Linked DNA regions of Saccharomyces cerevisiae S288C. The protein of the gene in region 2 binds, or shares a complex with, the protein of the main gene of each other region. Each region holds a gene or a part of one and is shown on either strand. Other genes may lie near its edges.

Evidence for each region.
Region 1: PRP18 (region 2) and PRP6 share a complex: the UniProt entries of both Saccharomyces cerevisiae proteins name them as parts of the U4/U6-U5 tri-snRNP complex.
Region 3: PRP18 (region 2) and SNU13 share a complex: the UniProt entries of both Saccharomyces cerevisiae proteins name them as parts of the U4/U6-U5 tri-snRNP complex.
Region 4: PRP18 (region 2) and SMB1 share a complex: the UniProt entries of both Saccharomyces cerevisiae proteins name them as parts of the U4/U6-U5 tri-snRNP complex.

What each region holds. Positions count from the first base shown.
Region 1 is NC_001134.8:342,275-351,987, forward strand, and holds PRP6 (U4/U6-U5 snRNP complex subunit PRP6), read right to left. Parts: upstream 5,028-9,713; coding exon 2,328-5,027; downstream 1-2,327. Other genes in the region: YRO2 (Yro2p), read left to right, coding at 827-1,861; MRX18 (17-beta-hydroxysteroid dehydrogenase-like protein), read left to right, coding at 5,605-7,110; MNC1 (Mnc1p), read left to right, coding at 8,981-9,181. UniProt on the Saccharomyces cerevisiae protein: Participates in pre-mRNA splicing. Part of the U4/U5/U6 tri-snRNP complex, one of the building blocks of the spliceosome.
Region 2 is NC_001139.9:500,248-507,664, reverse strand, and holds PRP18 (mRNA splicing protein PRP18), read right to left. Parts: upstream 1,596-7,417; coding exon 840-1,595; downstream 1-839. Other genes in the region: ECT1 (ethanolamine-phosphate cytidylyltransferase), read right to left, coding at 1-696; transcription factor IIF subunit TFG2, read left to right, coding at 1,806-3,008; PEX31 (peroxisome biogenesis protein), read right to left, coding at 3,339-4,727; cullin CUL3, read right to left, coding at 5,299-7,417. UniProt on the Saccharomyces cerevisiae protein: Component of the U4/U5/U6 snRNP, binding principally to the u5 snRNP. It is not absolutely required for the second step of pre-mRNA splicing at low temperatures but is required at higher temperatures.
Region 3 is NC_001137.3:98,452-105,957, reverse strand, and holds SNU13 (RNA binding protein SNU13), read right to left. Parts: upstream 4,016-7,506; coding exon 3,635-4,015; downstream 1-3,634. Other genes in the region: YEL025C (uncharacterized protein), read left to right, coding at 1-3,377; VMA3 (H(+)-transporting V0 sector ATPase subunit c), read right to left, coding at 4,707-5,189; YEL028W (uncharacterized protein), read right to left, coding at 6,829-7,290. UniProt on the Saccharomyces cerevisiae protein: Common component of the spliceosome and rRNA processing machinery. In association with the spliceosomal U4/U6.U5 tri-snRNP particle, required for splicing of pre-mRNA.
Region 4 is NC_001137.3:212,087-219,825, reverse strand, and holds SMB1 (mRNA splicing protein SMB1), read left to right. Parts: upstream 1-6,648; coding exon 6,649-7,239; downstream 7,240-7,739. Other genes in the region: ZRG8 (Zrg8p), read left to right, coding at 1-1,769; FIR1 (Fir1p), read right to left, coding at 2,133-4,763; Rab family GTPase YPT31, read left to right, coding at 5,079-5,750; CHZ1 (Chz1p), read right to left, coding at 5,928-6,389. UniProt on the Saccharomyces cerevisiae protein: Plays a role in pre-mRNA splicing as a core component of the spliceosomal U1, U2, U4 and U5 small nuclear ribonucleoproteins (snRNPs), the building blocks of the spliceosome.

The DNA.
Region 1 (9,713 bases), on a different chromosome or scaffold from region 2:
AAAACAACCTACCGATTTTGGTACCACTTCCGTGATTTTCGATTCTTCAATTTCCGCATAATTTGCCTCAAATAGGAAATCTGAGCTGTTTTTTTCTTACCCTCGAGTGGTCGTTCTGCGGACTTTTCTCCGGTCCAATGCATGAATCCCTTTAAGAAGCATGAAGAAAAAAAAAAATAGCCTCTTGTAAAAGCAAAAATGCCTTTCACTATTTCTGTGTAAACGAATAATTTCGTCATCTTAGTAGTTCACTGGATAATTGTGCTTTCCAATCAGATTAGTTAGTAAAACCCCTAGAAAATTTCAATGTTAGATCGGGATGATTCCTCATCGGGTTGTTGCTTATTCATGATCCTTTCAATTACTGGAAGCTTACCGAAAAGATATATAAAGAACCGAACTTATTCGGTTTACATGTAAGACAGTGTGTTAGTTATGGTTTTCCGCCCTTTTCTTCTCTTGTTTTCTTCGATATTTGTTATTAACCTTTTCTCATTTACGATTATATAATCAAGTGTCAAGATTGTGTCAGCAAATAACAGTAATATTCCAACCCGAAAAAAACTATCTATTTATCTTTGGATACTTTAACATAGACAAGAAGTCCTAAGAACTTACCATAATTTTTTTTCTAAAAACCCTTTTTTACTCAAAACTAATAGCTTATTCTGGTTATTTTTAATCAATCTAGAATTTTTTTCTTTTAATTCCAAACAATCTAATAACGTTTAACCACTAATTCTTTAATTATTAATATTTAATTTTAAAAATCTTCTAATTTTCCTGATAACTTAAAGTGACACTATTTTTTAAAAAAAGCATCAAAATGTCTGATTATGTTGAACTATTGAAAAGAGGTGGTAACGAAGCCATCAAAATTAATCCACCAACCGGTGCTGATTTCCACATTACATCTCGTGGTTCAGACTGGCTTTTCACCGTTTTTTGTGTTAACCTACTATTCGGTGTGATTTTAGTCCCACTAATGTTTAGAAAACCAGTTAAGGACAGATTCGTATATTATACGGCCATTGCTCCAAATTTGTTCATGTCAATTGCTTATTTCACCATGGCTTCTAACTTGGGTTGGATCCCAGTCAGAGCAAAGTACAACCATGTACAAACTTCTACCCAAAAGGAGCACCCAGGTTACAGACAAATTTTTTACGCTAGATACGTTGGCTGGTTTTTGGCTTTCCCATGGCCAATTATTCAAATGTCTCTACTTGGTGGTACTCCATTATGGCAAATTGCTTTCAATGTTGGTATGACTGAAATATTTACTGTCTGCTGGTTGATTGCTGCCTGTGTCCACTCTACTTACAAATGGGGTTACTACACCATTGGTATTGGTGCTGCCATTGTTGTTTGTATTAGTTTGATGACAACTACATTCAACCTGGTCAAGGCCAGAGGTAAGGATGTCTCTAACGTTTTCATTACTTTCATGAGTGTCATCATGTTTTTGTGGCTGATTGCTTACCCAACCTGTTTTGGTATCACAGATGGTGGTAACGTTTTGCAACCAGATTCTGCTACCATTTTCTATGGTATTATTGATTTGTTGATCCTATCTATCTTGCCAGTTCTTTTCATGCCATTGGCTAACTATTTGGGGATTGAAAGATTAGGTTTAATCTTCGACGAAGAACCCGCTGAACATGTTGGTCCAGTTGCTGAAAAGAAGATGCCATCTCCAGCTTCTTTCAAGTCATCTGATTCTGACTCTAGTATCAAGGAGAAGTTAAAGCTAAAGAAGAAGCACAAGAAGGACAAGAAGAAGGCTAAGAAGGCTAAGAAGGCCAAGAAGGCCAAGAAAGCCCAAGAAGAGGAGGAGGATGTAGCCACCGACTCTGAGTAAATGCTTTGATCTGCTGATGTAGCAATGTTTTTTTCCTTCTTTTTCCTGACGTATTATTATTTGAGACCGAAACTTCGCTGGAAAAGAAACACTTCGATCCTTTTTTTATCTTCTGCATTATAACGCGCAACGATGAAGTGTTAATACATGAAAGAAGATGGGATTGGATTGTAGCGACCAAAGGCCACAAATAAATATGCACTGTTTTTAAATTTTTTTTTCATTAAAAAAATACGAATAAATTCCTTAAACACATACATCATTTTGCTTCAAATTTTTACGTTTGTAAGAAAGACCATTTGTTGTCTTAATACCTATGAAGCACTACTTATAATCTTAATTAAATCTAATTCTTTTCTTTAACTTTTTTTTTGAGCATCGCTTCTATCAATTATGTGTATACATACATACATACATATAAATATACGCGCAGGCTAAGTAGAAAACAACGCAAGATAGAATTACTTTATTTGTCATTCATCAAGCGCAATAAAATCTCTCTAGGTGTGCAGTATTGCATTTTTACGTTCTTGGAGGCGGCTATCCATTCGGGTCCGTAAGTAGGCTCACATTGATCGAACATATTGTAGAGATCAACAGTATCCTTGCCTAACCTTGCATATGTCCTAAATAGCCAAACCCATGTATCTCCGTAACGCGAGCACTTTTTCAGAGCTCTTTCTAACCATTTTAATGATGTTTCATATTGCGCTTCTGCATAAAAGGATACTCCAATCTCCAAAAGAACGCGATGATCGTTTTGTGTCCTTCTTAAAGCATCTTGAAAAATTGTTTTTTTTAACGAACTTTTGTTTCCATGCTTAAACAGCTTGATTTGCTCCACCCAAAGTAAAGCATTGCTTGGAAACTTTTGCAATGCCTGTGTGACGAGTAACTCCGCCTGATCTAAGTTACCAAGTCTTATTTCCATTTGGATTTTAGCAATGTAAAATAATACATCGTCAGGATTTTTTAACAATCCTCTATCTAAAATTGATCTTGCCCTTACTGGATTTTTTAGATCAATCTCGTCAATCTTTGATAGGGAAACCCATAATAAAGGGCAATTGGGCACTAACCTTGTACCAGACAAATAGGTTTCTCTACTCATTTCAATATTGCCCATGGAATGATAAATTTGACCCAGCTGTAAAAAAAATTTGTGGCAGATGGGAAATGATTTCAAACATCTCTCATTCAAGAATTTTATAGCCTCTTCATTCAGATCTTGGTACCGCAGAAAGTTTACGTATTTATAATATAATCTTTCCGTGCCACTGATCTTAAAATCCTCTAAAGAGGAGAAAGTTTGCTGAAAAAAATCTCGTAATTCATCAAGTTGTAGTGAACGACCTAATAACTTTATCTTGAAAAAGCGTAAATCCAAATTATGCGGGGCGAAATCTATAATCTGGTCAATCAAAACTAGTGTTTGCCTAGTATCCCCTTTTTGGGCCTTCCAATATTCGCTTACATACATCATTAACAAGCCAGGGCTTTTCTCCCTCATATTTGCTCGTATATCATCACTATTCTTGGTCTGAAATAGCAGCTCCTGGAAAAATGCTAATAACTCTTCAATTTTATGGTAGCTTTCAGTGGCCATTTTCAGTCTAGACCAAAGAACTGTATCACAAGGATCCCACTGAATAAGCTTTTTTAAGACAGCAATTTGTACCTTTGAGTGTGGCATTTTTTCTAATATCTGATCAACATTATTCAACTCAGACTCATACTCGCCACTTTCTCTTAACCATTCTAATATAGCGTAAACGATGGCTTGACAGGTTAAATTTGAATTGGGCGCATCATTTAGAGCCTCTGCACGTTTCAACCATGCTGACAAGGTCGCTTTGTACCCATTTTTAGAGAGTTCCAATAAACCCTCCTTGAGCAAACTAACTAGTTTATCTACAGGTATATCTGGGTTATTTCGTTCTTCCAAGAGTGTAGAGATAATCCAAATTTCCGGTTCTTGCGGAAGGATTTTTCTGAAGGAATTCAAAGTCATTTTAGCATTATGATAGCTTTGCAAATTAGTATATGCAGTCAAGAGATCCATACTTTGTGGAATAAATTGTGTGGCTTTCTCTAACATTTTTATAACTTGCGCTTTGTCAGCTTCAAAACTGACAGCTAGCTTCCATAGGCCCTCATCTCGAGGAATCTCTTGCAGTGCTTTTCTCACTACTCTATATTTGTTAACCGTTGTGCTTTCCAAATCAATAGCTTTGAACCAAAGAAGCGGAGACGTTGGATTAAAATTTATTGCCGTTGCCACTAATGTTTTACAGTAGTGAACATCAGATTCGTGTAGTCTAATGTTTTCTAGCCAAATATCGGAGCTTCGAGGGCACTCTTGGCAACCATTTTCTATTATTTTTTTTGCTACTGAAAATTTTCTTGCCTTTTCTTCTAATCTGGCAGAAGCTATCCAACCCTGTGGATTTGTTGGATCGGCCTTTCTGTATGACTTTAAAATTGTGCGCATTTTCTGTAAATCTTCTAACGTTGCGTCTGAGAGAGAATTTACTCTATCGTTTTCTAAGTCCTTTAAGTAACTTAGGGCATCGGTAGCAGCGTTCGGTTTATTAACCTGTATAGGGTTACTTGCATTCTTCGTTAATTGTGCAAGATTCTCATCTATTTGAGATTGCAATAATTTTTCTCGTTCTTCCGTTAATTTATTTAAATCAACATTCCCAGGTATTAGCGAATCCGGTGCAGCATAAGTTTTTCTGTTTAATTGCTCTTGAATTCTATTTCTCTTGTTTCTTCTTGTAAAATCTGTGGCATCCGGAATATCCATCCACTCACTCTCCGTTACAGCAGCTAATGATTCTTTCAAATCGGCAAATTGCCGTTTCACGTTTGAAGAATCAACTGAATTGTCATCATCCTTTTCATTAGCTCTTTTCTTTTTCTTTTGTGCTAATTTCAATTCAAGCGTTTTGAATACATTTGCAGCTTCATCATCTTCATCATCTTTCGGTTGGCTTTGAAGATGGTTGTTCAAATTTTCACGGTACCTTTTCGGTATTCTTCTTCCTTTGTCATCATTACTAACCACTTGCTTTTCTTTTGTTGAAAATCCAGTGGCTCCACGACCAATACCTGGTACGTAACCTGCAGGTGGTTCTTGATCCAAAAAAGATGGCCTCTCCATAAAATGTGACGTTTTCTTGCTGTTAAACTCTTTATGTCAACTCACCCGTATATTTTCTGAAATTTTTCGTTTTTTTTTGCTTAATAGAACAATCTGACACACTATAAATGTACTGGTTAAATTAGCCCAAGGTTCTATCAACGGTAAAGAAGACTTTTAAAAATACTTTCGTTACATTATTTATTAAAAGAAGAAACGCCATCATTTCATAAAGGTCTCCGGAGGAGCTACTAAAGAAAGAGTGCTGCAATTAATACAATTAATATAAGTGTGGTTATTGAAAATAACTATTCATTTATACGGAGGGTTGGCCGAGTGGTCTAAGGCGGCAGACTTAAGATCTGTTGGACGGTTGTCCGCGCGAGTTCGAACCTCGCATCCTTCAGTAATATTTTTTTAATATACATTTTCTCTGCCATCATGGCTTAAAAAATGCTTAAAAGAAGGGAATTAGGGGGGATGGATGAACTAAGACATAACTTTCTTTTCTTCAATTCGAACTCTGTTGGGAAGAGTTGCTTTAAAAAAGACTCTCTATCCATCTATAAAATTTATTAAAACTTTTGAACTGCACAGAATGATTGGCTCACTTAGAAACAAATTTGAGCATTTCAAAGTTTCTGAAAAGGGAGGTCAAAATTTATCTACAACACTACCGAAACTACCCCCTGCAAAGGACCTTGATAGATCAACTATCTACAAGTACCGTTACAATTATGGTGTAAACTTGGGTGCGTTATTTGTGCTCGAACCATGGATTTTTTCTAAAGAAACCATTTGTACAATCGATGGGAAAGAATATGATAGCGAATTTGATGCTATTTCCCAACAATTGAAGAAGCATTCTTCTGAAGACGTTGCGAAAATGTTAAGCGATCACTATAAAAAGTACATTGATCGAATTGACTGGGAATGGCTATCTAAAGATGCCCATATTACAGCGTTACGTATTCCAATTGGATATTGGCATGTCGAAGATGGGAAGCATTTAGATTCGCTTCCATTTGCCCCATTGAGAAAAGTTTATGAGTTAGCCAAACCTTGGGAAAAACTTGGCGAATTAATCAATAATGCCAAGAAAATGAGCATTGGTGTATTGATAGATTTGCATGGTCTACCAGGAGGCGCTAATTGCGACTCACACAGTGGCTCGAAGAGTGGTGAAGCTGCGTTTTTCCACAAGGAAAAGTACATGACCAAAGTCTACAAAGATATTTTACCTGCAATTATTAACACAATGACTCTGGGCAACGAAAACATCATTGGTATTCAAGTGGTTAATGAGGCATGTTTTGATAATAACCCAAAGGGCCAAAAATTCTATTATTCAGAAGCCATTAATACCGTTGAAAAACTTCAACCAGGTTTACCTGTCATAATATCCGATGGTTGGTGGCCCCAACAATGGGCAGACTGGGTTAAAGAAAAACATTTTAGTGAAATAGTGGTCATTGATTCTCATGTCTACCGCTGTTTTTCTGATTCTGATAAGTCGAAGGATGCCAATTCCATTATCAAGGATTTGCCAAATACTGTGAATTTTCCTCATGAAGATGCCGATTATACTGTTGGTGAATTTTCTGGTGTTCTTGATGGACAAACTTGGAATAAAACTTCTGGCGACAGAGACGCTATTGTTCAAAAATACGTACAAACCCAAGCAGATGTATTTTCTCATGTAGCTAGTTGGGGTTGGTTTTTTTGGACTTTGCAGTTTGAATACGGTGATGGAGGTGAATGGGGCTTAGCTCCCATGATGCAGAAAGGAAATTTACCAAAACGTCCTCACGGTGATGACTTACAAGTCGACAAGAAGAAAATAGATTCAATAATCCATGAACACGAGGCTTATTGGAACGGTAAAGGTAAAAATTTTGAACACTGGAGGTTTGAGGATGGCATAAAGACAGCTGTTGATGATATAATTGCCTTTAGGAAATTTGACAATTCATTAATTGGTAGATGGCATTCATGGAAGTCGCAAAGAAGAGCTGAATACGTTTCTGCCAAAAAAGATAGCGAATTTATGTGGGAATGGGATCAAGGCTACCAACGTGGGTTAGATGAGTTTAATAAGTATTAAGAAATATACAAACACATATATACTAACTATAGGCGTTTCTATTCTTTTGGTTTACTGTCGAAAATAAAAAAAAAGCTGTTGTGGCGGCACTTCGTAAGTTTTCAATTATCCAGCTACTGCCAGTAGAGTACTCAATACTTTTACTTTCAGCTGAAATGAGGTTTTTCTTTAAATGAAGTTGATACGCAATATCATAAAAGCACCGGAATAATGGTAATCAAGATGAAGCGCTATGATATTTTTAGTATTTGCCATCTTCAAATCATTCTATTTTACCCAATAGAACATTCAAGTAAGGTGAACTATTTAAATTAAAAACTCAAGTAACATGGGCGATCTTTAAGCATTTGAGAGTTATTAAAAATTTCCGAATAGAGCAATAATGGAGGAAATTAAGTAAAAACTTTGAGCCAAAATAAATAATATTACAAAGCAAGCCAGAGTCTCTTTTTAATCAGAGGAAAGATGAGTTGATAAGCGTATAAGCTACTCTGCTGTGAATGTTTGAATCAACCTCCCAAAAGATGTATTGGAGGTATTAAGCTGCCTTGAAGTTGGGATTTGGCAGGGTTATAAAAAAGGCGTCATTGGCTAAACATGCAGCCACACATATTGTTGTTTCATAGCCATAAACTTTGATATAATGACCGAAAATTGTTTTTGCGTTGTTCCATAAGCCCAGCTGCCCGTTGGGTATTTTGAACTTTTGTCGCCAGGTATCGGCCGTTCCTAATATTATAGTAGCTTATACCATCAAGAAAGACACTACATCTAACTACTCAAACAAAAGTAACCCCACGGTTATGTTCACCGAGTTGCGTACGGTTAACATGTATTATATGGCAGCGCAAAAAGCGATGGCTGTGACAGATGATGAAGTCATCCATCGGTAATTGTCCATCTTAGGTAACAATTGCGAGGCAAGTAACACAGACTCTCGAGTACTTGTTTTTCAGGGTGTGAGAAGAGCCGTTGTTTACTTAGTGATAATTCACGCTATTTTGTTGAGCAAGTCATTAAACAATCTACTACCTGTAGCTCGTGAGTGGAATATCAAGGTGATATACACTTTTGTGTTCTAATGAAATTCAAATACTAATATTGACGAGTTTTCATATTACTAGTATATTATCATATAAGGTGTAAGAGAATGACATAAAGATTGAAAAAAAGTCAACGGATGTAATGGAAGCTGGATGACAACTTCTACAATGAAAGGAGAATAATAATGCTATAATGTCGAAATAGCAACTCTCTTTGTGAATTCTTCGCGTGGAGTAATTCTAGTGTCTTTTGTATTCACAATATTATAGCGTTTGAAAAACGATGTACTTCCAACAATTATTCCAAAATTCATCTATTTCTCAATGGTAATTCCTATTGATCAATTATTTTTCAAACCACTCAATTTAAAAAATTGTCAGAAATACCATCAATAAAAGGGTTTTATAGTGTAGTGGTTATCACTTTCGGTTTTGATCCGGACAACCCCGGTTCGAATCCGGGTAAGACCTTATTTTTATATATTTTTTCATGAATTATCGGACACTCTTAGAATGGAGATCTCGCAGATATGGGGCTGAGCCGTGCTGCATCAGTTAAGAAAGAAATAAGCCACCTCGATGCTGTGGTGAATAATTTACGGGAAATTTCTTGGCGTTTCTGTAAGTGACATGATCCGTTATAGTGCCGCAAAGCCAAAAATGTCTTATTTTTAGGTTAGCATCTTTTCAGCCTCGAAAAATGCTTGTTCAGCAATAATATATAAAAGTATCAGTAAAACAACACTTTTTGTTAGATGAACAATTGATTTTGTCTAGGTCCTTGTACTTTGAGAAATATCATCAAAAAAAAAAAGTGCGACATCACAATGAGACATCAATACTATCAACCACAACCGATGTATTATCAACCACAACCGCAACCTATATACATACAACAAGGGCCGCCGCCACCAAGAAATGATTGTTGTTGTTGTTGTAACTGTGGCGATTGCTGTTCAGCAATTGCGAACGTTTTATGTTGTCTGTGTCTAATTGATCTATGTTGTAGCTGCGCTGGCGGCATGTAAGCTGTGGTTTGCCTTGTAAGCTGTGGTTTGCCTTGTATCATCATGAACGCTTTTCTTCGTGGAGTAGTCTTCCTATATTGTTTCCGGTGGTTACCATCAAGATAATTTACACACACAAAATTTTCCGCTGTACGTTTGCGAGTGGCATAACGAATAATATGTATCCTATCATTTCAATGAATCACAGCTGAGCACATTTGAATTTTATTGTTAAATGGAATGCCGTTAAATGTATTATGTAATATCCATAAAAGTTCACACTGATTGTTCACTTTTATGAACCTCTAGGATTAAAAGTACGTCTTTGTTAATGAAGCCAGCAAAAAATGGAGAACATCAGGAACAAAGCGGCATAGCTTTGATCTTGCCTTGATGCTTCTAAAAAAATATATACGTTTGTAAGTATATACTCCAATTTTCAATAGTATTTTAATGAATAATTTTTATAAATAGAGGTAAGAGATTAGACACGTTATCTGGAGGTAATAACTAAGTAAATAAATAACAGCTACGTTGCTCTTTTTGGAAAAAG
Region 2 (7,417 bases):
AACAATCAATTTCTTATCGGGGTGAAGATCCATTTTCAGCTTTCTTAACTGATCAATATCCCCCATATGGAATAAGTCAAAATCCCCGTCAACATAAACACAATCTTCTGCATCGAATTTGTATCCACCATTGACCAAGACATTGTCCAAATCCCTCTGAAAGACATAACAATGTTTTGAAACGGCATCTTGGGCGACAGAATAGAAACTCAATTCCTGGGTGGTGGGATAATAATCAGGATGAGTCGGTGGCAAAGATTTTTTCGTCAATATTCTATGTATAATCTCGGTAGTACTTACGCCATATGTTCTTTTAACTACCTTGAAGCGCCCCATCTCTTTCACCAACTTATAGCAGTCTTCTCCATTAGCATCTATGGTGATATCATCACCATGAACAACATATTGGCACTGATATTTATCCATCCAATTGGGATCTGTAACATATGGCGCCGCTTCAACCACTTCCGAACACCACCTATTTGATCTAGTATGCTCATATCTTTCTGAAGAGTTCATTACTGGTGTTCCTTTGTTATGCTGAATATCTTCATCGGTATGCACACCACAGAATAGTTTACCATTTTCTTTTGAAACTGTTCGACGAGCCTGCAAAATGGCTCCCGCATGCCCATGATGTGTGAAATCAAAGCAGCCGTCTATCCAAACTTTATCCGGATCTAAGTTTACCGTCATCCAGTCAGTATATTTCAAGTCCCGATCCTGTAAAGCATTTGTCTCTGGAAAATTGAACAAAGGCTATCAACATCTGCATTCTTGCTTCTTATTTTGGCCGCATGATATCGTGCCACGCGATAACGAAAACAATAGTTCAACAATTAGGCTAAGCTATCGTGGTTGCTGGTATACCATTCTTCAAAAGTTATTAATCTTTTAATACTGGTAATCCATAATCGCGTTCTTTCATCAATCATTATGTTAGCAGCATTCCGGCCTCCTTGAATTTTCGAATGTGCACTACGAGCATGAATGCCTACGCTAGTAACACCAATAGGCCAGGCCACATTGCCGATACTGAGTTTCATATAGGACTGAACGGCTAAATTTATTTCTTTAGGTTGTTGTAAATGATAGAGAACGGTCGCAAGGGAAATAAGTAAATCCGGGGCAAGCTGGTTCCTTCGTAGTTGCAGTAGGAGTGGAAAGAGTGCTTTTTTAGTGTCTAAGAACAGCTCCGGATGATAAGCTTCCAAAGACGCCTTCCAACGAGATAATATTTCGTGAATATATAAATTACATTTCATTGACAAAAGAGGTTTTCCTTCAGTAGAACCAATTTGTGATGGATCAATGATTACAGAGATGGTTTTGTCTTGAGCTATCGCTTCTTGTATCCTTTCTGGCCGATTTTCTAATTTGCTAATGGTGGTCCTAATATCGTCACTCTGATTGTCTGACAGGTTTTCTTCATCTGTACTTTCTTGTTCTACCTGTCGCGGTGTTTCGTCTATGTTTGCGGATTCATGTGGCTGGAATTTCTCAGTGCATGGTGGCTGAACACCTTTAGAGTTGGCCAGCTCTTTCTTCTTCTTAGAAATTTCACCTTTTAAGATACTGGCTAGATCTAGGTCCATTTTATGCTCTTATTACTTGTAGAGGAAAAAACATTGAAGTTCTTTCCATTGGGGCCCTTTCCAAAGGTCGATTCTCTTCTTAACTTTTTCATCTTCCCTTGCGCGAAATGAATAAATTATCAGGCTTGAAATTAGAAGAATAAGACATATGCTGTTGGCTTCAACGCATAACGCAATATTAAGAGTAAAATAGAAGACCAACTTAACACCATGAGCAGTGGTTCAGCAGGGGCACCAGCACTTTCTAATAATTCCACGAACTCTGTCGCGAAGGAGAAATCAGGTAACATTTCCGGTGATGAGTATCTTTCGCAAGAGGAGGAAGTTTTTGACGGTAATGATATTGAGAATAATGAAACCAAAGTTTATGAAGAATCCTTAGATTTGGACTTGGAACGTAGTAATAGACAAGTCTGGTTAGTTAGATTGCCCATGTTTCTAGCAGAGAAATGGAGGGACAGAAACAACTTGCATGGCCAAGAACTGGGTAAAATTAGGATAAACAAGGATGGGAGTAAAATCACACTTCTATTGAATGAAAATGATAACGATTCTATACCGCACGAATATGATTTAGAACTTACAAAGAAAGTAGTAGAAAATGAATATGTTTTCACAGAACAAAATTTAAAGAAATATCAACAACGTAAAAAGGAGTTGGAAGCAGATCCTGAAAAGCAAAGGCAAGCTTACCTGAAGAAGCAAGAACGTGAAGAGGAACTTAAGAAGAAGCAGCAGCAGCAAAAACGTAGAAATAATAGAAAAAAGTTTAATCACAGAGTTATGACAGATAGGGATGGTAGAGATAGATATATACCATATGTGAAGACGATTCCCAAAAAAACCGCCATTGTGGGTACAGTTTGCCACGAATGTCAGGTTATGCCATCAATGAATGATCCTAATTATCACAAGATTGTTGAACAGAGAAGAAATATTGTCAAGCTTAATAATAAGGAAAGGATCACAACTTTGGATGAAACCGTTGGTGTTACGATGAGCCACACAGGTATGTCCATGAGGTCAGACAACTCGAATTTCTTGAAAGTGGGGCGTGAGAAGGCCAAGAGCAATATTAAATCTATTCGTATGCCAAAGAAGGAAATCTTGGATTACTTGTTCAAGTTATTTGATGAGTATGACTACTGGTCCTTGAAGGGGTTGAAGGAACGTACTAGGCAACCTGAAGCACATTTAAAGGAGTGTTTGGATAAAGTTGCCACTCTAGTGAAGAAGGGCCCATATGCATTCAAATACACTTTAAGGCCAGAGTATAAAAAGTTGAAAGAGGAGGAGAGAAAGGCAACCTTAGGTGAACTAGCTGATGAGCAAACAGGTTCCGCTGGAGACAATGCGCAAGGAGACGCGGAGGCTGACTTGGAAGATGAAATAGAAATGGAAGATGTCGTTTAGTTGACAATCAGATTTTCTTCATTAATTTTATATTTACGCAGTTTCTTGAGCCCTATATATACTCTTTTTAAAATTTACAGTTTTGTTTAATTTATTATGTCTCTATTAGTTTTGGCTATCTGTACATATGTATTTAGATGCATTGAAGTTCCGTAAAAGAATGCTTGCTGGAATAAGAGACTGATGGAGAACTTGCCATAACCGCGCAGATACTTTAAAGCACAAGATTGAATTTGTGCTCCATGCAGCCAATGAAAGAAACTCTGAGATTGCTGTGTGCCCTTGCACCGACCAGTGTGAACGTTGTTGTCCATATGGGGCATGCACTCATTATAGAGAAGGAGACATTGAAACATCAGATATTTGTATTAATTTGCTACTGTCCGAGGAAGGTATGATATGCACTTCATTTGCTGTACTAAATGACACTTTTCTTTTTCTAACTCTATTATTTTCTTCACTCTTCAGAGCATGAGAATTCGGTGTAGCTTTTTCTACAGTGGGCTCATCGTCATACGTTGTTGTTACTGTTGCAGTCCTGATCCACCTCCTTCTTCTTGTGTACTTTTTATATGTGTCCGTTGCAGAGGGATTATTCCAGGTGTTATCATAATATATGAAACCTTCATCTGCACCTGGCTTAACTTTTGTCTTAGCAGCAGAAGCAGGAAGTTGAATGATCCCATCATTTGTTAGGTCAAGCATCCAATCTTTATCGTGCCATTCCCAAGCCATTCCCGACTGCTCCTCTGGTAAAGTAAACACTTCTGGGCTTGGAGAAGTATTTAGGAATTCATCTGTCCAAGATGCGCGCTCATAACTCAACATAGTTGATGTCCATCCGATGCCAAGCCAGCGGCGCTGGTTTTCAAACAGAGCAACCTTGAAAAGTACAGTCTTTTTAGTGTTAGATGTGTTCCCTACCTCATTCCAAACAAAGGACCTTATTTTCTTATTGACAGAAGCAAACAAGCGCCTATTATTATCTGGTCCACCAAGGTCTAATCCTGTTATGAAAAATACAAGTAATCTAACAACGCGAAATTTCCACAAGTATCTTCTCATTCTTCGGATTAGTTTAGAATGGTACGTAAGCACATACAGACCCCCTATTAACATTAAATAGTTTGGAGATAGCACAAACACTGTTAGAAAAATATAAACTGGGGATAGGAAGGCAATGGTAAATAACAGTCTTCTAACATCCTGAGCGCTCAAAATCGTAATAGGAGATAACACAGCGCTAGATTTCATAGAAACCCTATCCATAACGTGTATTATATCATCCAATGAAGGGCAAGATGCCATTGTTTCTTGAACGTGCTTGTCAATTAAAAGATATACCCATATTATACCAACGATCATTAAATGTCCAAAATACCTTGTAATAAATCCAAAATATAGAACACAAACCGTAAATAAGAATATTCCAAGCAAGTTTGCAGAGACATTGTCATTGGACCAAGTGATGATACTTAGAAAGTTATCCACAACAATTAAATATGGGTATAACCTCACTAATGACCTGGAGACTGTTTTAGGTGTTGAAGTCAATAAAGGAGATGATAAAATAGCCTCTTGATCTTCCTCATAAGTTTGGGCGCTTAATTTACCTCTTCGTTTTCTTAAAGCGCTACGAATGTGTTTATTCTTGCTTTCTGTAGACTCAGCTACTGTACTTGAGGTTGGCTCTAGATTTTCATTATTTATTTCGCTCATACTATCAAATAAAGGGAAACCAAGGCTTGACAACCAGGGAAGAATACCAAATTTAAAAGTGCCGCTTTATTGATAATAATTTTGGTGAGCTTCTCTTATACCGTAAATTTCAACATATATTTTTCTACCAGGAAAAGTGAAATACGGCCGCTAAGCATCTGAAAAAAAAAAAAGAGCAAGGCGCTGCTATTGATAATAGTTCCTTTGAAGCAGTGCTACGCAGGTCTGAAAGGCTCGTAACTTTAACTTACTTAATGATTAAGAAAGAAATTATTTGACTCAACAAATTCCTAGAAGTTTTTTATAAAAATATAATGAGGCATAATAAACTTCAAGAGATATCGATTACCCACTCCACATTACATTCAAGTTTGACTGGGATATATAGTCTACCATAACTATGTTATTATATATTTTGAAAGTTTCACTAAGGAATGCAGGATGAACATTCAATTAGTATCGACGCATATCCTCTTAATATTGTTCGCTCTGGCAGCCGGATAGGAACTGCCATCTATATATACTGTTGGCATTCTGCAAACCTTATACCTGTGATTTTCATTATAAGCAATTAGGAAAGGTAATGGTAATAAGAGGGGTCATCTGCGTTTCTCTGGATGTATTCTTTCTCTATTAAAAGCTGAATGCTTCGTTTCAAAATGCTCGGTGTAAGACTGAGCCGAGACTGTGTCCGTTTCGTAGTTCTTTCAAGTAATTGCTGATGGCTTAGCTTACCTTCTGTTTTCATGATACGAACAATAATAGCACTAAGCTCCATAACAATTTCATTATCATAAGTGTCCACGGAACTTGCGGTTGCCAAATTATCTGATTTCTGAGATGGTAGAGGGCATGCAATAACCGGCACTTTCACTTTCCTGTTTGGAGAAGAAAAGAAATAATTAACTGAAAATTTCATATTTCCTGAACTGGATGATTTTTTCAAAATCTTACATCTGGGTATTGTCGACATTGACATTACAAGAGACTTAACGTCATCTATGGGAATATGAGTTAGTTCATATATTTCCCCCAACGTTAATTCTTCATAATCTTCAAATAGAAGGAAAATCACTCCAGCGTAAACAGAAAAACTTATTTCGTAGTAACCGCTATTAAATTGGCAGCCAATTTCAATTACACTTAGATGATGAGCCCACTTTAGCACTCTTTCTTTGTATTTTAAGCTGTAATAGCCCTCAAAGCCAGCTAAAATTTGTGACATTCTAGGAGGTAGTGAAATACCTTCATCAATTGGATTAGTACTCTGAAAGGGCCAGCTCGTTCTCGTCAAAACTTGTGGTGCAAAACTCAAATATTCTATGCTGTTGATTGTTGAGTGTTGGAATGCTTGATACATTTCAGAGGATAAAGATATATCTCGCAGCATTATCTCCAATTTTGAGGTAAAAAAAGTTCCTAGAACCTTCTTTATCATTTGCACCATCCATTTTTCAATTTCCACTAAAGACCTCTGCTGCAGTAATCTTCTGGAGAGTTGTTTTTTGTAAATCTTTTCAAATATATCCTTCTCAGTTAGGAGTCCGATTAATTTGGTACTATCAAGCAAATCTTGCTTGATCTTCACTATTTCAGCATCTTTTTCCTTGGTTCGTTTCATACAATGGTCCACGTAGGTAGAAAGATACTCAGATGGTAATGCTCCTTCTTTAGAGAAATACATTGAGAAAACATCGCCAAGTATTGCATTAGATACATCCCCGGTCAAATTATTAAGACGAACAGAACCAAAATCAATACTTTCCAAAAACGAGTGTTGACTGCGATATAGCTCTACAATTTCCGAAGACCAAGTAATCGCATTCTGCCCTTTTTTGCGGTTACCTTCATTAAAAGGAATATTTATGGCATTTTTATTGATGTAAGATTTAATAGATTCAATGACAGTAACGCGATATTTTTCCTCGCTTGACAAGTCATAAATTTCTTGGAGTAGCTTTCCATTTGAAATTACCATTGCTTCGTGCGTTAGATCTTCAATAATATCACTCAACTTTCCCCATATAAGGACATTTTCTAATACAGTCTTCAACTTATTATGAGAATCCACATTTAGAAAAGAGGAGTCTAGCATACTTTCAAACTGCCTTAACTTCCTAATCTTTTCCAGGCTCTCAATTGGCGTTAATAATTCAATATCAATAGCTTTATTGTAGTATTCTTCTGTCGCGCTAATCAAAACCGGCTCAAAATCGGTTAAGAAAAAACTATCTCTATTGTCATGTAATGTCTCCATCATTCCTATTAGTACTTTCCACAAACTAGTATGTTCGGAGTCGACAGATCCTAAATTACGAATCCTTTCTATATCAGATATCAGTGCTGAGATGAGAGAAGATGAGCATTTTTGCAATATTTCGATTCGGAAAAGATCGAGGCACATGTCGTATACCTCCATGCATCTATTTGGTTTGCAATAAACTTTGTCCATATACATCATTAAGTCTCCCGTTATTTTAAAACAATGGCATTGCACCTCCCATAACCGTGCCATAGTTCCAAGAAACTCATAATCATGAGTATTGTCCTTGACTATCGTTTCCCTCAAAAGCGCTAATTTTTGGATTAAATAATCTTTCAATCTGTTATAAAGTATTGGCCCCTTTTTATTTAAAACGATAGTATAAATGGTCTTGTACACTTGTTCGAAGGAAAGGTCGGCCATGTCA
Region 3 (7,506 bases), on a different chromosome or scaffold from region 2:
AGGTTGAGTTCGCTTTAGATGGACCGTTCGTTGTTAACTACGCAACTGTACCGATGTTCATGTCAGCTTCCTTCTGTCACCTGCTAATGTTTAACGACGGTTCCATTAAGGGATTCAAATGCGAAAATAACAAATTTGAAATTATCTACGACTCTAATGTGGCTCCGAAACTGGATACTATTTCTTTATTAACTTCCAGCTGGTTAAATGCTTCCTTTGAGGGTGTTTTATACACTTGCAATAAAAACATATCATATGATAGTGATTTGCATACGTTATGTACGACAATTTACTCCTTTGACTTCAGAGAAGGAATAGTCGAAAGATTTTATGCCACCGATGGCGAAGAAATTATCTCCTTTGATTTTATTAGCAGGGAGGATTTGCTTGACGACGCCACATGCACAGGTAAATCACACGTTTATTTTCTTTGCCTACTTAAGAGTTGCTATAGTGAAAACCTGTTTTTAAAGGAATACAATCTTGCTGGAAAGCATGGAAGTAGGAAATTTGATTTAAACGAGTACCGCCAATACAATCTTTTGCCGATATGTGATAATGAATTTTGTTATATGAAGGTAGTTTGCGGCCATACCATTGTAGTGTTGACTACTAACTACACTCAAATAATAAATATAAAAGCAAGTGGGCTTACAAACGGGGCTTTTTTCAATAATAAAGGTCTCCCAAATGTAGAAAACTACCAATTTCTAAAAGATTCTTATGATGTGATATATGAAAGATCAGTCATTCTCTTGACAATTTCTGACGTGTATGCTAACAAATACACTGCCAAGATACACACTAGGTCGTTACATAGAGACCACGTCCTGAAAGAACTACAATGGACAAAAGAAAGAGTGTTCAAGCCTCCTAAACATGATCTATGCGATGTTATTTTGCAGCTCCCACGTGAAAAGTATATAGCGGTGACAAGAATAAATGGAGTAAATTTTATATCGAAAGATCATCGAGGTTCAAAATTAGAAAAGGTGAAAAGCGGTCCCGCTTATACAAACAAAGTTTACCTGGCATCACAAGTTATTGGAAACAAGGGGACAGATATTGATTCACTGCTTTTGGGTGGAAGTTTTAACTCAAGAAGAGGATTTTTAGAAAAGAAAATTTTGGTATATGACAAAACCCTGTTCAAGTTAGTGACTTCCTCCAAAGCGCTAGTAGAGAATGTAACTGATTTTTGGGTTACAGATTTAGCACTTAATGGTGGTGACGAATTTGCATATGAATCAGGTGGGTTGATTTATAAGAACGGAATATTTTTAATGGATGAGCCTTATGATTACGGTCTATTTGTTTCTAGGACGGGAAAAGTTTTGAAAGCCGGTATGGATGGTTCTACCGGAGAATTTAGGCAGGTCGATTTCTTGCAGTCGAACCACAACTCTTCCACCATGTTTTGTTATCCCGTACAGAACTCCAAGCTCAGGATTTCGATACTTGAGGCAAAATCTGGTTTTCTACGTAAAAAAGAAGAATTTTTTATCCATGGGCTCAATTCTAAAGAGAGTATTGTGAGCTGTTTCTCAGATGGTGCCGAGAAATACCTTTTTGTCATTTACTTGGACGGTGTGTTTTCGGTATGGAATGCCAATCAAAAGAAAGTGGCTACATCACATCCAGACTATTCTTTCATAGCCTATGATCAATTGATAAAAATATCTTGGCTAAGCAAAAAGCATAAACACGACTCGATTTATGTCATCGCATCATCATACACTGGCTGCGTAAGAGTCTACAAATCAGAATCAAATTTTTTGAGAGTGGATTTAGAGATTCATTCGTTATACGATCAGAAATTAGAACTGTTGGATACGATTCCTTCCTTACCTTTGGTTTTCCTTTACAACGATAAGGAAATAATTTTGTTAAATCTTCAAAACATGTCTTATGGTTGCATACAGTTAGGCTTAGTTCCAAGACGAATGAGAATTCGACCCGGTAAAGCACTGTTCTCTCTTTGTGTTTTAGATTATGATTCTCGAATAAGCATCTTTGAGTTTGGTAGCACGTTTTACCGTGAAGGTTTCACTAAGCAGATGACTTCATTAAAACCTCAATTAGAAAATCATATCTTTTACCTCCCTAGCATTCCCGTAGAGCTCTATACTGTTCCAAATAACCTCAATCAGGCCGTGGTGTGTTTGGTCGATAGCAATAGTAGGCAGTATAAGTTGATGCTATTCAATTATGCTTCAATGAAGGCAGTTTCCACATTCAGTTTCTCGGATGAAAAGTATTTACATGCCGTTGTGAAGCCACTGTGGCCAGAACAAAACTCAATCTACTTATCACAGAGACCCTTTTATGGTAATAAGTTTGTTGTATGCTTAGGAGTTGGTGAAAAACGTACAAAATTCTGGCTGTTTGAAATTAGAAACAATAACATTACCCAATTGTACGCGAATTATCTCGAAGATTGTATATTCTCGGTGTTCATATACTATGAGTGCAACTTGGTTTTATTTTCTGGTGATAGTGGCATAGCAGCATATAAAATAAACATGCTAAAAGAGGGCGCGGAAATTTTAGAGGCCTATTCCTTCCCAGCACTTTCATCGATTAACCATATAGGTCTTCCAGCTTATATGAGTGGTGATTATCTGGTTCAATTTGAGATCTTGAGAGATTTTTTGAGAACCCGCTTTCCAATTAGGACGTCCATAGTATATCCATCAGAGTACCCTGAATGTCCCTACTTGGGTTTTAAGCGGTTGGGAAGCATTACACAAGTGGCGACTAAAATAATTCCTAAGAAGCTAAGAGAACCTAAAAACGATTGTTTAGCGAGTGATAAGAACTATCTATTAGGTCGATTATCAGACCTTTCTTGTGCAACGTTGAAATATTCCAATAGATCTTATGTTGCCACCATTGGTATTGATAATACCTTGACAATATACGAAGATTCTAAATTATCAGTTGATAAGGGCGGGTTGGCTATGCCATACCTCAAAATTCGGTTACCTAATAAGATAATCTCACTGGCGGCCATCCCAGATGGATTTCAAAACCTTCAAATATGTCCAAATTTCAATAGTCAAAGGTTGGAAGGCGTCATACCTCTATTTTTACTTTGCGGTACTGAGGGCCAAATTTATATAATATCGGAATTCATTGGTGAGCTGTGGATGAGAACGTTGCATGATTACAAAAAGATCAAGCTCGAATGTAAAAGAGCTTTTCGAAGGTCTGAGAAAAGCATGCGAAATGTTACTAAACAATATTCCGTGAGTAAAGAGACTGGAATAAATGAAAGCGGCTTTGATGAGCTAGCTAGAAATTCAAAGAGAAGACATATAGATCATTCACCATACAAGACCATAGATTTTTTCGATCCTGTAAAACTAAAAAGGTGACAATAAATCTCCTACGAACGAATAGGTGCCATGAGATCTTGCACCTTTTTGTTATGCCTAAATTACTACAGCTCAATTGATAATACATGTTTGTGCATTTACAGATGCACTCGAGTAGGTTATTCAATGAAGATATGACATATATCATACCACTAACAAAACAGCACTATTAGCGTCTGCACTAGTGGAAAGCAAAAAACTTTTTTATAGTATATAGATGGTACAAAAACTATGTTGATAGATATAATCCAATCTACTTAAATTAATAAAGTTTCAATCTTGTCCTTGACAGCGTAGATTTGGGTCTTGATAGCAGAAGCATCGTTGGTGGTAATAGAAGCAGCAATAACTGGTCTAGAAACACCACAAGCTCTACCTAAAGCAACTCTAGATGGAACAAAGACATATGGAACATTCTTGTCTTCACATAGTAATGGTAAATGCAATAGGATTTCAATAGGTTCACAGTCAGCAGCCATAATGATGAATTCGGAGATACCACGGTTCAAAGTTTTGGTAGCTTCGTTGGCACCTTTCTTCAATTGTCTCAAGTTAGCAGCCTGTTGAACGACATCCAAGATTTGTTGGGTTAATGCAGCATCGGCTAATGGGAAAGCCTTTGGGTTTGGGGCAGACATTTTTAATATAGTTTTTATAGTATGAAATCTGGTTTATTCAAGTTCCTTGCAATAATCAGTATGGTCCTGGTATAGAAAGCTCGCTCGAATGATGATTTAAATTAAGATTTGAAAGTAGGACTTGAACACTAAGAGGAATAAGCACTATTAACCAGAATAATCAGTTTTAAAGTGAAAAATTTTCTAACTCATCTCATTCCAGCATTAGAAAAAAAAATTTTCTGAGAAAAAGGAAAAATGAAAAGAAAAAGAAAATAGAAATGAAAAATTTTTCTATATGCTGAATTTATTACCCGGATAAAACCGATAAGAAAAAGAAACGATACAATTGTCTACTTTAACAATAGAAGTTGATAAGGTTGGGCCTCTTTTAAGAGTACAGGTATAGTGATCTCATCGTACCCATTGTGTAGCTTAAAACGCATAATGCTCTTTGTTGCTCCTTGATATTCAAATTTTCTATTTTATACACATTAAAAATTAAGATATACATATTTAGCGTGTAATACTCTTTTAAACAATAATAATGGTACTAATAAAAAGGAAGCTTGAAATGAGGTAGTTTGGATATGAAGTAAGAATAGGGGCTATAAACAATCTCTAAGATGAAAAATTTTGATAGTTTTCATAGTTTCTCACAAAAAGATTCTTTTGTATACTCTATTCCTGCTTTAGTGATTCAGAAGCTGCCTTAACAGACAACATCTTGAGTAGCCCTGGAGTTCAACAACAAAGCAACAATCAAACCGTATAGACCCAAAACTTCAGCAAAAATCAAAATCAAAATCATACCGACGAATAATCTTGGTTGTTGAGAGGAACCTCTAACACCTGCATCACCGACAATACCAATAGCGAAACCAGCAGCTAGACCACTCAAACCGACTGATAGACCGGCACCCAATTGGATGAAACCGGTGTACAAAGCTTGCTTTTGACCCAACGAATAACAAACCAAAACGGAAACAACTAAACCGTAAATGGCAATGATACCAGCCATAATAACAGGAACAATGTTCTTGAATAATAGGTCTGGTCTCAACACACAAGTGGCACAGATACCAACACCAGACTTAGCAGTACCGTAAGCAGCACCTAATGAGGTGAAGATAATTGCAGAGGCACAACCAATGGCACCAAAGAAAGGGGCGTAGACAGGACACAATTCAGTCATTATATGTATATGTTTCTTTTGTTATTCTAATTGATTAGTCTTTTTGAGAAAAGCAATAAACACGATCTTCTCTTTCTTTTAAAAAGATTTTTATAAACAAGTTTTTAATCAGAACGAGTGTATAATTGTACAAAACTATCAAGGGTCAGTCAATCACTTAACCACTTTTTCTGTTTTTTTTTTTTTTTTTTTTTTAATGCGTTTCTTTTCCGGGTAATATCCCTTTATACGATTCAAATTTTTAGCAATGGAATAGGCCGTAGACGGCCGTAGACGGCCTATTTCATTGCTGATAAAGAATTCAGTTCCTCTATCTTTCCTAAGTTGAATATTGTGCAATAATAAATTCATTATTAAAGAAGATGTACAATTAATAATAAATAATTGCTGGGTGAATTTGTAAAAAAAGAAAACTGTAATATAGAATATATAAAATAAGTTGATAGAAATACCTAACTAAAACAATAACAATTATTAATAATAACGCAGAAGTTAAAGCTTATAGTCTATAGCTTAAATGATTGCGATCTGTGTTATTGTTGCGGGCAAAAAGAAATGAAAAATTAGCGCCGCTCGGTTTCGATCCGAGGACATCAGGGTTATGAGCCCTGCGCGCTTCCACTGCGCCACGGCGCTTAGCCAACTTGAAAGAACTGGATGTTAACTTTATTTATTAACACAATAACAAATTCTTCTATCTCTATCTCTCCATGTCGCTTATATTGAGGTCCGCCAACATATCACTTAATCTGTTACTTGTAGTGGCATGTTTATAATTACTATTTCTTAGCTCATTTCAGGTATTTTGCGGTTAATTATAAAAGTAACCGCATGTGTTCCACAGTTGTTGTCAGTTGATACTATTTTAGGTGGTTTATGCTGTTTCAACCACGACAACTTCATCCTCTCACTGGACATTTTTGAACACTAATTGAAGTTTCCAATACCACTCGTCTTTTAGGCAAAGGTATTTTTCAAATATAGTTATGAAGGCGTATATGATGGCATTTGGCTCATTTGGGCAGTACGACATTTGTTCATTTCCGGTAGAATCAATACCTACGTGTTAGTTTACCTTCCGATGGTGATTTCTCCCATGGATATTGCAGGAGTAACAGTCGGTTATGATTCACTAACTAACAGTTATATTTTGCTGGGATATTATTATATACGGCGTTAGAAGACATGAAATGATGAGAAGCAGTCATTAAATTTAGTGGAAGCCGAAATGTAAGGATTGATAACGCAGTAGGATAATGAACAATAAAACATAAAATGAAAGGAGAAGTGACGCTTTTAGAGCAGTAAATTATAACGTAGAGGACGAAGAAATGTGTGCATGGTTATGTAGATTGTTGATTCTCTTTTGCGAACTCCTGTGACCTAGTGGAGAATTTTAGCAACTCTGTAGGCCTAATAATGTTGTCTTCAATCAAAATGGGACTTGACAATTACTCCAATATCCATCTAACCTATATCGTTATCCTGTCATCATCTATGATATCGCTAGACGTTAGTAGTAAATTGCTTTCTTTACTGCGCATCGTCGAGATATTTGCACCATTCATGCATACATCTTTGTGTATAAAAGATGTTAATCAGAATTATCATACATGTACATAACGTAATACCTGAGTACTTACTGAAACTCGACAATTGGATGTTGGAAGGCATTGAGTTCTTGCGTTGTTAGCCGTTTGTTGTTCCTAAAGTGAGGTAAGTCCGTATGGTTGACGGTGGCATCGCCAAGTTTTGCCATATAACTAATCCCGCTAGGAAAATAGTCGTATTTGTAATGAGTGAAGTAGAAACTATGCCCGTAGTTACGATAACAGTATGACACTGTCTTCGTCATAGCGGTAGTGTTAGCTTCCGTACGATTGCTAAATATGATAAAAGTTCCAACAGTATCTGTAGCCGCTATTTTGTTGCTTGGAAAACCAAGCACTTGTAAGTACTTTAACACATTACGAGCATCAGTTAGAGTGGTGTTATCACGTAATGAGGGCAAATTTGCACCATTATGAAGTAGTGTGCCCGCACTTGCGAGCTCGACGATCATGACAAGAAAAAATAGAAGGCTTGTTATTGTTATTTTCATTTTTTATTTGGATCTGATATAACTACGATGCAATTTGACAGTGAAGAAAAGTTATGCTTCATCCAATCCTAAGCGCGATAGTGGGAATGCACCCTTTAACATGGCCTTATTAAGTTGTCTAAAATCTATGCATTGGCGGTAACTACCAATCATATTTTTCATCATATAGATAATTGGTAGATGTTGGGTTGACCTGGCCCATATTACATAGATATG
Region 4 (7,739 bases), on a different chromosome or scaffold from region 2:
ACTTTGATGACGATATGAATTGTATAGAAGATGATGAGAGTGGTAATGAGGGAAACGAAATATGCGGTTTATCGACTCGATTCGAAGAAACATCCTTGAAAAGCAATAAAGTCAAAAAGTTCAATGATCTTTTTAACTTGAGCGATGATGATGAGGAGGAGGATGGTAAAGATAACAGTAACAATGGAGATGAAAATGAGAGTGATAATCTTTATCAAAAACGATTAGAAAACGGGAAAGAAACTTTTAATGGTAACCATGGCGGACACCATGATGATGCATCTCTTGGAGAAACGGTTGACAACAAAGAGCAGTTTCTAATAAACGATAATGTCAAGAAGCCTATTCAAAAATACAATGACCTTTTCGATTTGTCTGATGAGGACGATAACGACGACAAAGAGATGTCAGAAGCTGAGTCTTATATGTTTTCCGATGAAGCTCCTAGTATAGAAAGTGGACCAGCAAATGCAAAATCAACACGGGGGATCTATAGTCAATCTAACAAAAATATCATACGTGATGGAAAGCCGAACTATAGTTTCTCTCTCAAAAGGAATAATTCGGATGATGAAACGGAGCACACTTCTGCAATAAAGGCTTCCCTTACAGGTACTACTGGCTCTACCAAGCCTACAGTAAAGTCGTTTTCAGATATATTTAATGTTGATGATAGTGCAAGTGACGCTGAAAGTGATTCTGGGACAGGAGGGAACAATTCTAACGGCTTAGTATCCAATGATTCAGAAAGGCAGGTCTCCCTGCAAAGTTCTTTGTATGAAACCAAATCAGAATCCCATCCTCCCAATCATCCTCATTCGCAGATTCTTCAAACACCGGCTAAGATTGTAATAACTCCAAGCGTTTCTGATGCGCAATCACAAGCCCTTGCAATCACCGATGATGATGGTGAAGATGATGATGATGACACTAGTAGCATACTAAGAACTCCGTTTCAACTTATTGATTCCTCTCATTCACAGCAGCCGCACTATGCGAGCCCACAGTATACGGCTGTACTCAATAGCCCCCCTCTTCCGCCGCCAGCTAGGTCTCAATCACTAAAATATCATGACTTAAATTGCGATTTAGATTCAGAAGTCCCCAGACCAATGAGTAATCTCTTTTTCATTGATGAAGCTGAGGAAGACGAATACAATCAGAAAAGTAAGTTTTTTGATTTCGACCACTACGACATCGATGAAATTAATGGCATTCCAGAGGATTTTAACTTCTCTGATTCTGAAAGAGATGATCTTAATCGTCGTACACTGAAATCTCCTTTACGGGGCGGCTCCAAGAATAGAGAAGTCTCTCCTTTTTCATCTGTGTCATCGTCTTTCAGAAGTACGCATAGTTTTAATGGGAAATTAACGATCAACCAAGGGGCTAAAGAATTAGCTCCGATGAAAAATAAGATTGAACTTACAAACAAGACTGTCACCTTCTTTAACAGTAATAATTGGAATACTTATGACTGCAATTCACTCTCCCGAAAAACTTCATCCCAAATGAGAGATAGTAAATATCAAAATCATAATGTTGGTCAAAACGTAGAACCTTCAAGTGTTCTTTCGCCACAACATCAAATATCGAATGGTTTAGATGGAAAATGCAATGATAACTACGTAATCTCACCAAATTTACCGACAACTATCACACCAACTAATTCATTTACTAAACCCACACCGGAGTTCTCAAATGACTACTCATTAAGCCCTATTCAGGAGACACCATCTTCTGTTCAAAGCTCGCCAAAGAGAGCGTGAGAAAATACTGCATGTTTTTTATGCCCGTAGCCTCCACATTTCTTCCCTAGTAGGTGACTAGCTTTAAAACCTTTGCGTAATGTTCGTATTTGTAATCAATTGCATGTGCCAAGGATGATCTTTGGTAGATATAAAAGTACATATTATTAATTTGTTTTACAGAATTGGCATGTCTGAATATAGTTTTTTTAAGAAAGTACAAAAACTAGAAGTTTTTCTTACATGTAAGAGATATGAAATTTTGTAATGTCCGATGAAAAAATAAAATAGGCAATAAGCAAATTGCCATTCCGATAAATCTTCATGCGATGAGCTGGTCAAATCTGTTTACCAGAACAATTTGTAGGGTTGTTTTTTTTTTTTTTATTTTAGTTTGCGATGAGATGGAATGTCGTTATGAATACTGGACTGATACTTGTTCGGGATCAAAGAATTCCCTTTTTCATCATACAGTGGAAAAGGCAACGGCGGAAGTACTCTTGATTTTTTTGGCTTTGTTTGTTGTCCTTTTTCTGAGAATTTATGCTTCTCATTTACCAGTTGATAAATAATTCTTTTTGCATCATCTGCAGTTTTATCACACATGCCCAAAATTTCGTTGCAATGGCTTAGACGTTTCTTCTGTTGCTCATTTTTAGCTTTTTGAGCATGGCAGACTCTTGTTCGTGATATATCGTTATTTTTGAGGCCTACATCTTCATCCTCATCTAAAAGAATAACCTCAACCATTTTACCATCTCTTTTTTCGTAAATGGTATTAAAATCCAAATCGTGTCTATTTGAAGGAGTATTCTTATTCCTGGGGAACGAATAGTTGTTCTTCTGGGATGGAGGACCATGACCTAAATTTTTAATTGATCGTTTTTCTTCTATAAAGTTATGTTCTAAAGTTGACCTGTTAATGGTCACAGAAGGTTGAGATGTTGTATCCGTAATGGCAGTATTGGAAGAAAACTCAGAATTGTAGGAAGATTTACTACTACCCGATTGTGACGATTGGCTATTGGAAGATAAAACACTAAATGGAATTGAATGCGGATTCACACAGTTTCTTTGTTTACCAATTAAGTCTGTAGGAGTTTGGTTCAAAGGAGTTGGTTCCTTGTTTTGAATTTCTTGACCAAATGAATTGAATGAAGATAGCGGTTTGAATGGCTCTATCGATGGAACACTTTTTGTTTCACTAATTATTGCAATAGAATGGTCAGCAACTTCAGTAGAAAAAGCTTCGTTTTCATCCTCTGGGCATTCAATAAGTGATGGTGATGGTTCTCTTGTATGAGAGATACTTTCATCTGGTATAATTTGAATCGAAGGTACCGAGATTTCTTGGAGGAAGGACCCATTTTTAGGTGATTGAGCTTCAGGAGGAATATCAGATGTTTTTGGAGATGACGTGAACCGTAAGGGTGATCTCTTAGGTATTTCAATGGAAGTACATGGGTTAGAATGTTCAACAGGAATTGAGGGAGCAGAGGTCGGAGCTGGTGGTGTGGAGGTTGCCTCGAAATTTAAGGAAATGTCATCAATATTATGAACGCTCCTGCTTCTCCTATGTTTATGTATCCTCGGATTATTATTCGTCGGAGATTTTTGCAAGTCTATTAACATCTGTCTTCTGGATTCAAATGATTGATTCACAGGCGAAGTATCAACTTTCAGGAAATCTTCATTGTTCGTGTCTCCAGAGTTTCTATTTTCATGTACCTTATCCACATTATTGTTAGTAGTACTGGAGGGAAATTTGAATGACATATCGAGTTTGTCCAGTGATTCAGGGTTAACTTGGCGAGTTGGAGAAGTTGGCTCCTCGCTAGGTTCAAACTGCTGGAAAAATTTTAATGTCCCATTTAAACCTGTGCTTGGTGGGGATTTCATGTGCTCTAAGTCGGGGATGTCTATCAGTTTATTTGGTGTTGACAGAATTTTTAACGAAACATTTTTTTCAGTGTTTTTTTCCTCACATTCCCTATCTGTTTTACTCTTAATATGTTGTGGGTTTTTGAGATTTCTCCTTTGTATCTTCAGATTGACGTTGGCGTTCTCATCAATTCCAAGAAGCTTATCAGCATCTGCATTATTTAACTCGAAAGACACATCATGGTGGGCATATGGAATAGAATCATCTTCATCTGAATACGACGATGAGGGCTGTTCTAGAGAAGATTCAGTTGACGATGAGGTGTTACCTTCTTGAAACTGGCTATAGCCATCCCCATCGTAAACCAAGCTACTCCTCTTTTTATCCTTGTTTTGCGGAGATAAGTAGGGCGGCAGAGATATTTCTAATGGAACTGGTAAATGATATCTGTTCAATGGCGATTCAGGAGTGAGATATAAATTCTTTTCGGGAGTTAAGGGAGGAGGCCTGTCAAATGATAAATTCAGCGGAGATACTTGGCTAATATTACTAGTATTCTCATTAATACTGGTCTCAACCTCGGTTGCACGATATGTGTTCATTGTATCCACAATGATCGACTGTAATGATTTTGATCTAGAATGGTTTGGTTCTTTTCCACTACTACTTGTGTTGGACCTAACATCAGAACGAGTTTTACGGTGCCTGCTTTCACATTTTTTTCTCCTGTTATGATGAAACTTCCAAACTTCTTTAGGGACATCGACCAGTATTTTAGAGTGCATGTCGACTAAATGACCATGGCTATTCATAAGTAATGATGAAGTAGACATTCTTCTTTCGGTTTCATTTCCACTCTTGGGGAATACAATTTTCAGTGGGGAGTCCTGTGATATTTCATTTGGATCTGGAATGGAAAATCGAACCTGCGATTGTGTATGCTCATGGGGTTTCTTGTTCTTGCTCGATCTCTGTCGCGGTATAGCAACACTCTCTATATTATTAGTTCTATTAATGGCTAGTAAGTTTTCGCGTGGGCACAACACATCACGGCATTGATCATGGTCCATCTCATGTTGTATCGATAATGTACTGCACACTTTGCTCTTGACAGGTGTAACAGGGAGGCTCATAATCGGAAAAAAAGCTTCAGATCTATCCCAGCGCAATCTAATTGCACTAATTAGGTAGTAGTCTTGCTGTAAGTATGTTGTATTGTTGTTCCTAGGCGTCAATTCTACTGTTGTTATGTTTGGGCTCGTTTGTTGTTTGTTTACCATTTTCCAATGCGGAATATCACAGGCCGCTGCGGTGTGCGGGTGCTAAATTAGAGAAAGAGGGAAACTCAAAACTTTTCAAGAAAGAAACGAATAACAATTTGACCTTTATTACAAGGCACTTTGTTTAGGCCAGCAAAGGGATTCTGACGGCGTCTGGGGATTTCAACAATGAGCAGCGAGGACTACGGGTATGATTACGACCTACTATTTAAAATTGTACTGATCGGTGATTCCGGGGTAGGGAAATCCAATCTATTGTCAAGATTTACGAAGAACGAATTCAATATGGATTCAAAGTCTACAATTGGGGTTGAGTTTGCCACCAGAACTTTGGAAATTGATGGCAAGAGGATCAAGGCGCAGATTTGGGATACTGCGGGCCAGGAACGTTACAGAGCCATTACTTCTGCTTATTATAGAGGAGCTGTAGGTGCCTTGATCGTTTACGATATCAGTAAATCAAGCTCATATGAAAATTGTAATCATTGGTTATCAGAATTAAGAGAAAATGCAGATGACAACGTCGCAGTGGGGCTTATCGGTAACAAGTCTGATTTGGCCCATTTACGTGCTGTACCTACGGAGGAGTCCAAGACTTTTGCACAGGAAAATCAGTTATTATTCACAGAAACAAGTGCTTTGAACAGTGAAAACGTGGATAAGGCTTTTGAAGAGTTAATCAATACCATCTATCAAAAGGTCAGCAAGCATCAAATGGACCTTGGTGACTCCAGTGCCAACGGGAATGCCAATGGTGCGTCCGCTCCTAATGGACCAACGATTAGTCTGACACCAACACCAAACGAAAACAAAAAGGCAAATGGAAATAACTGTTGTTAAGAGATATTTTGCAGCAGTTGCGCACTTGCATGTGAATGACTCTTCTCCCCTTTAATTCTGTGCTATATTTTTACAATTTTCTGCTGACATATAGTTTATATACATATAGAACGCATATAGGAAATTGAAGTAAACAGAATACACAAGTAGAGGCCGGTATGTACGACATTTTGCTTACTACTCTTTAAAATCATCGTCTTCTTCGTCTTCATCGTCTTCTTCTTTTTCACCATATCCTACATCATCTTTAGAGCCTGTGCTAGGTTCCTTCTTGTCTAATTCTTCTGCAGTCTTTTTATAGTCAATTACTTTGCCGCGTGTTCTTCTTCCGGATGTGATGATATTAGAGGTATCAATTTCTGCCAAATCGTCCTCTTCTTCTTCTCCCTCATTTCCCATCAATGCGTCTAACTTGGCATCGTCCATATCAGATTCAGAATCTTCAACAGTACCATTATTTTCGCTCTTCGTCAAACCATTTTTAGCCTTAGTCTCCTCTTTTGCTACTTCAGCGTCATAATCGTCATAGTTTCTTCTTCTTCTTCTCTTTGGCTTAGGTTCCACAGACTTTTCGGATTTATTATGACTTGATTCCTTTTGGCTTTCTAATTCACGCTTTTCCTTTGCTTCGTCAGACATTATTTCTCTCTTTCCTTCCATGTATTGAATTTTACTTACCAGGTGTGTTCCCCAATTAACCACCCACCGAGCTTCCTTATTTCTCCATGTTCTTGTTTTTCTCACGATAATGTGGGAAAAAATTCAAAATAAAAATTATGAAAATAAAAAATGAAATTTAAAGAAGCCTATGCTAGTTAGAAATGAACAAGACAGGGAAAAAAGTAGAAGGGGTAACAGAACCATCCGTATAACAGGTTTCCAGTAAAGTAAATAACTAATGAGCAAAATACAGGTGGCACATAGCAGCCGACTAGCCAACCTTATTGATTATAAGCTGAGGGTTCTCACTCAAGATGGCCGCGTTTACATCGGGCAATTGATGGCATTTGATAAACATATGAATTTAGTGTTGAATGAGTGTATAGAAGAGAGGGTACCCAAAACTCAACTAGATAAATTAAGACCGAGAAAAGATTCAAAAGATGGAACCACTTTGAACATCAAGGTAGAAAAAAGAGTGTTGGGACTGACTATACTAAGAGGAGAACAGATCTTATCCACAGTGGTGGAGGATAAGCCGCTACTATCCAAGAAGGAAAGACTAGTGAGAGATAAAAAGGAAAAGAAACAAGCGCAAAAGCAGACGAAACTAAGAAAAGAGAAAGAGAAAAAGCCGGGAAAGATCGCTAAACCTAACACGGCCAATGCGAAGCATACTAGTAGCAATTCTAGGGAGATTGCCCAACCATCGTCGAGCAGATACAATGGTGGCAACGATAATATCGGCGCAAATAGGTCGAGGTTTAATAATGAAGCGCCCCCTCAAACAAGGAAGTTTCAGCCCCCACCAGGTTTTAAAAGAAAATAAGGTTGATGTAGTGTAGTCTAATATAGTTTCCGTATACTTTTTTTGTGTACGCATGTGTGTTAATAGGGAAATTCATAATTAACTTAAGGAAGCATTTTTTTACTATTTTTTCATTACCTAAACATAATTTTAATTTTAATCCCTGTGTGGGATTTTAGGGTGTACGAGATATGTAAGTTATGAGCATATTTTTCCTTAGTTGACGAATAACCTTTAAGTCCTAGGAGGTTCAATATGCAATTGCATGCTATTATGCAACTCAATTGCTCAAGGGGCTATTCAGGTTTACATAATACGGATGAAAAAGATAAAGATCTCGGAAAAACTGAAAGGCACTCTTCGGAAAAACCTCTTTTATGGGGGGTGTTCTGGGGCAGAAACCAAAACGGCGGAACGCGTCCGGAAAAACATACATAGACCACACCGTAGAAATTACTTCCTTGGAGACCCCACCAAAAAATCCTTCACTAATTTTTCCGTGTATAAATGATTTAGCTCCC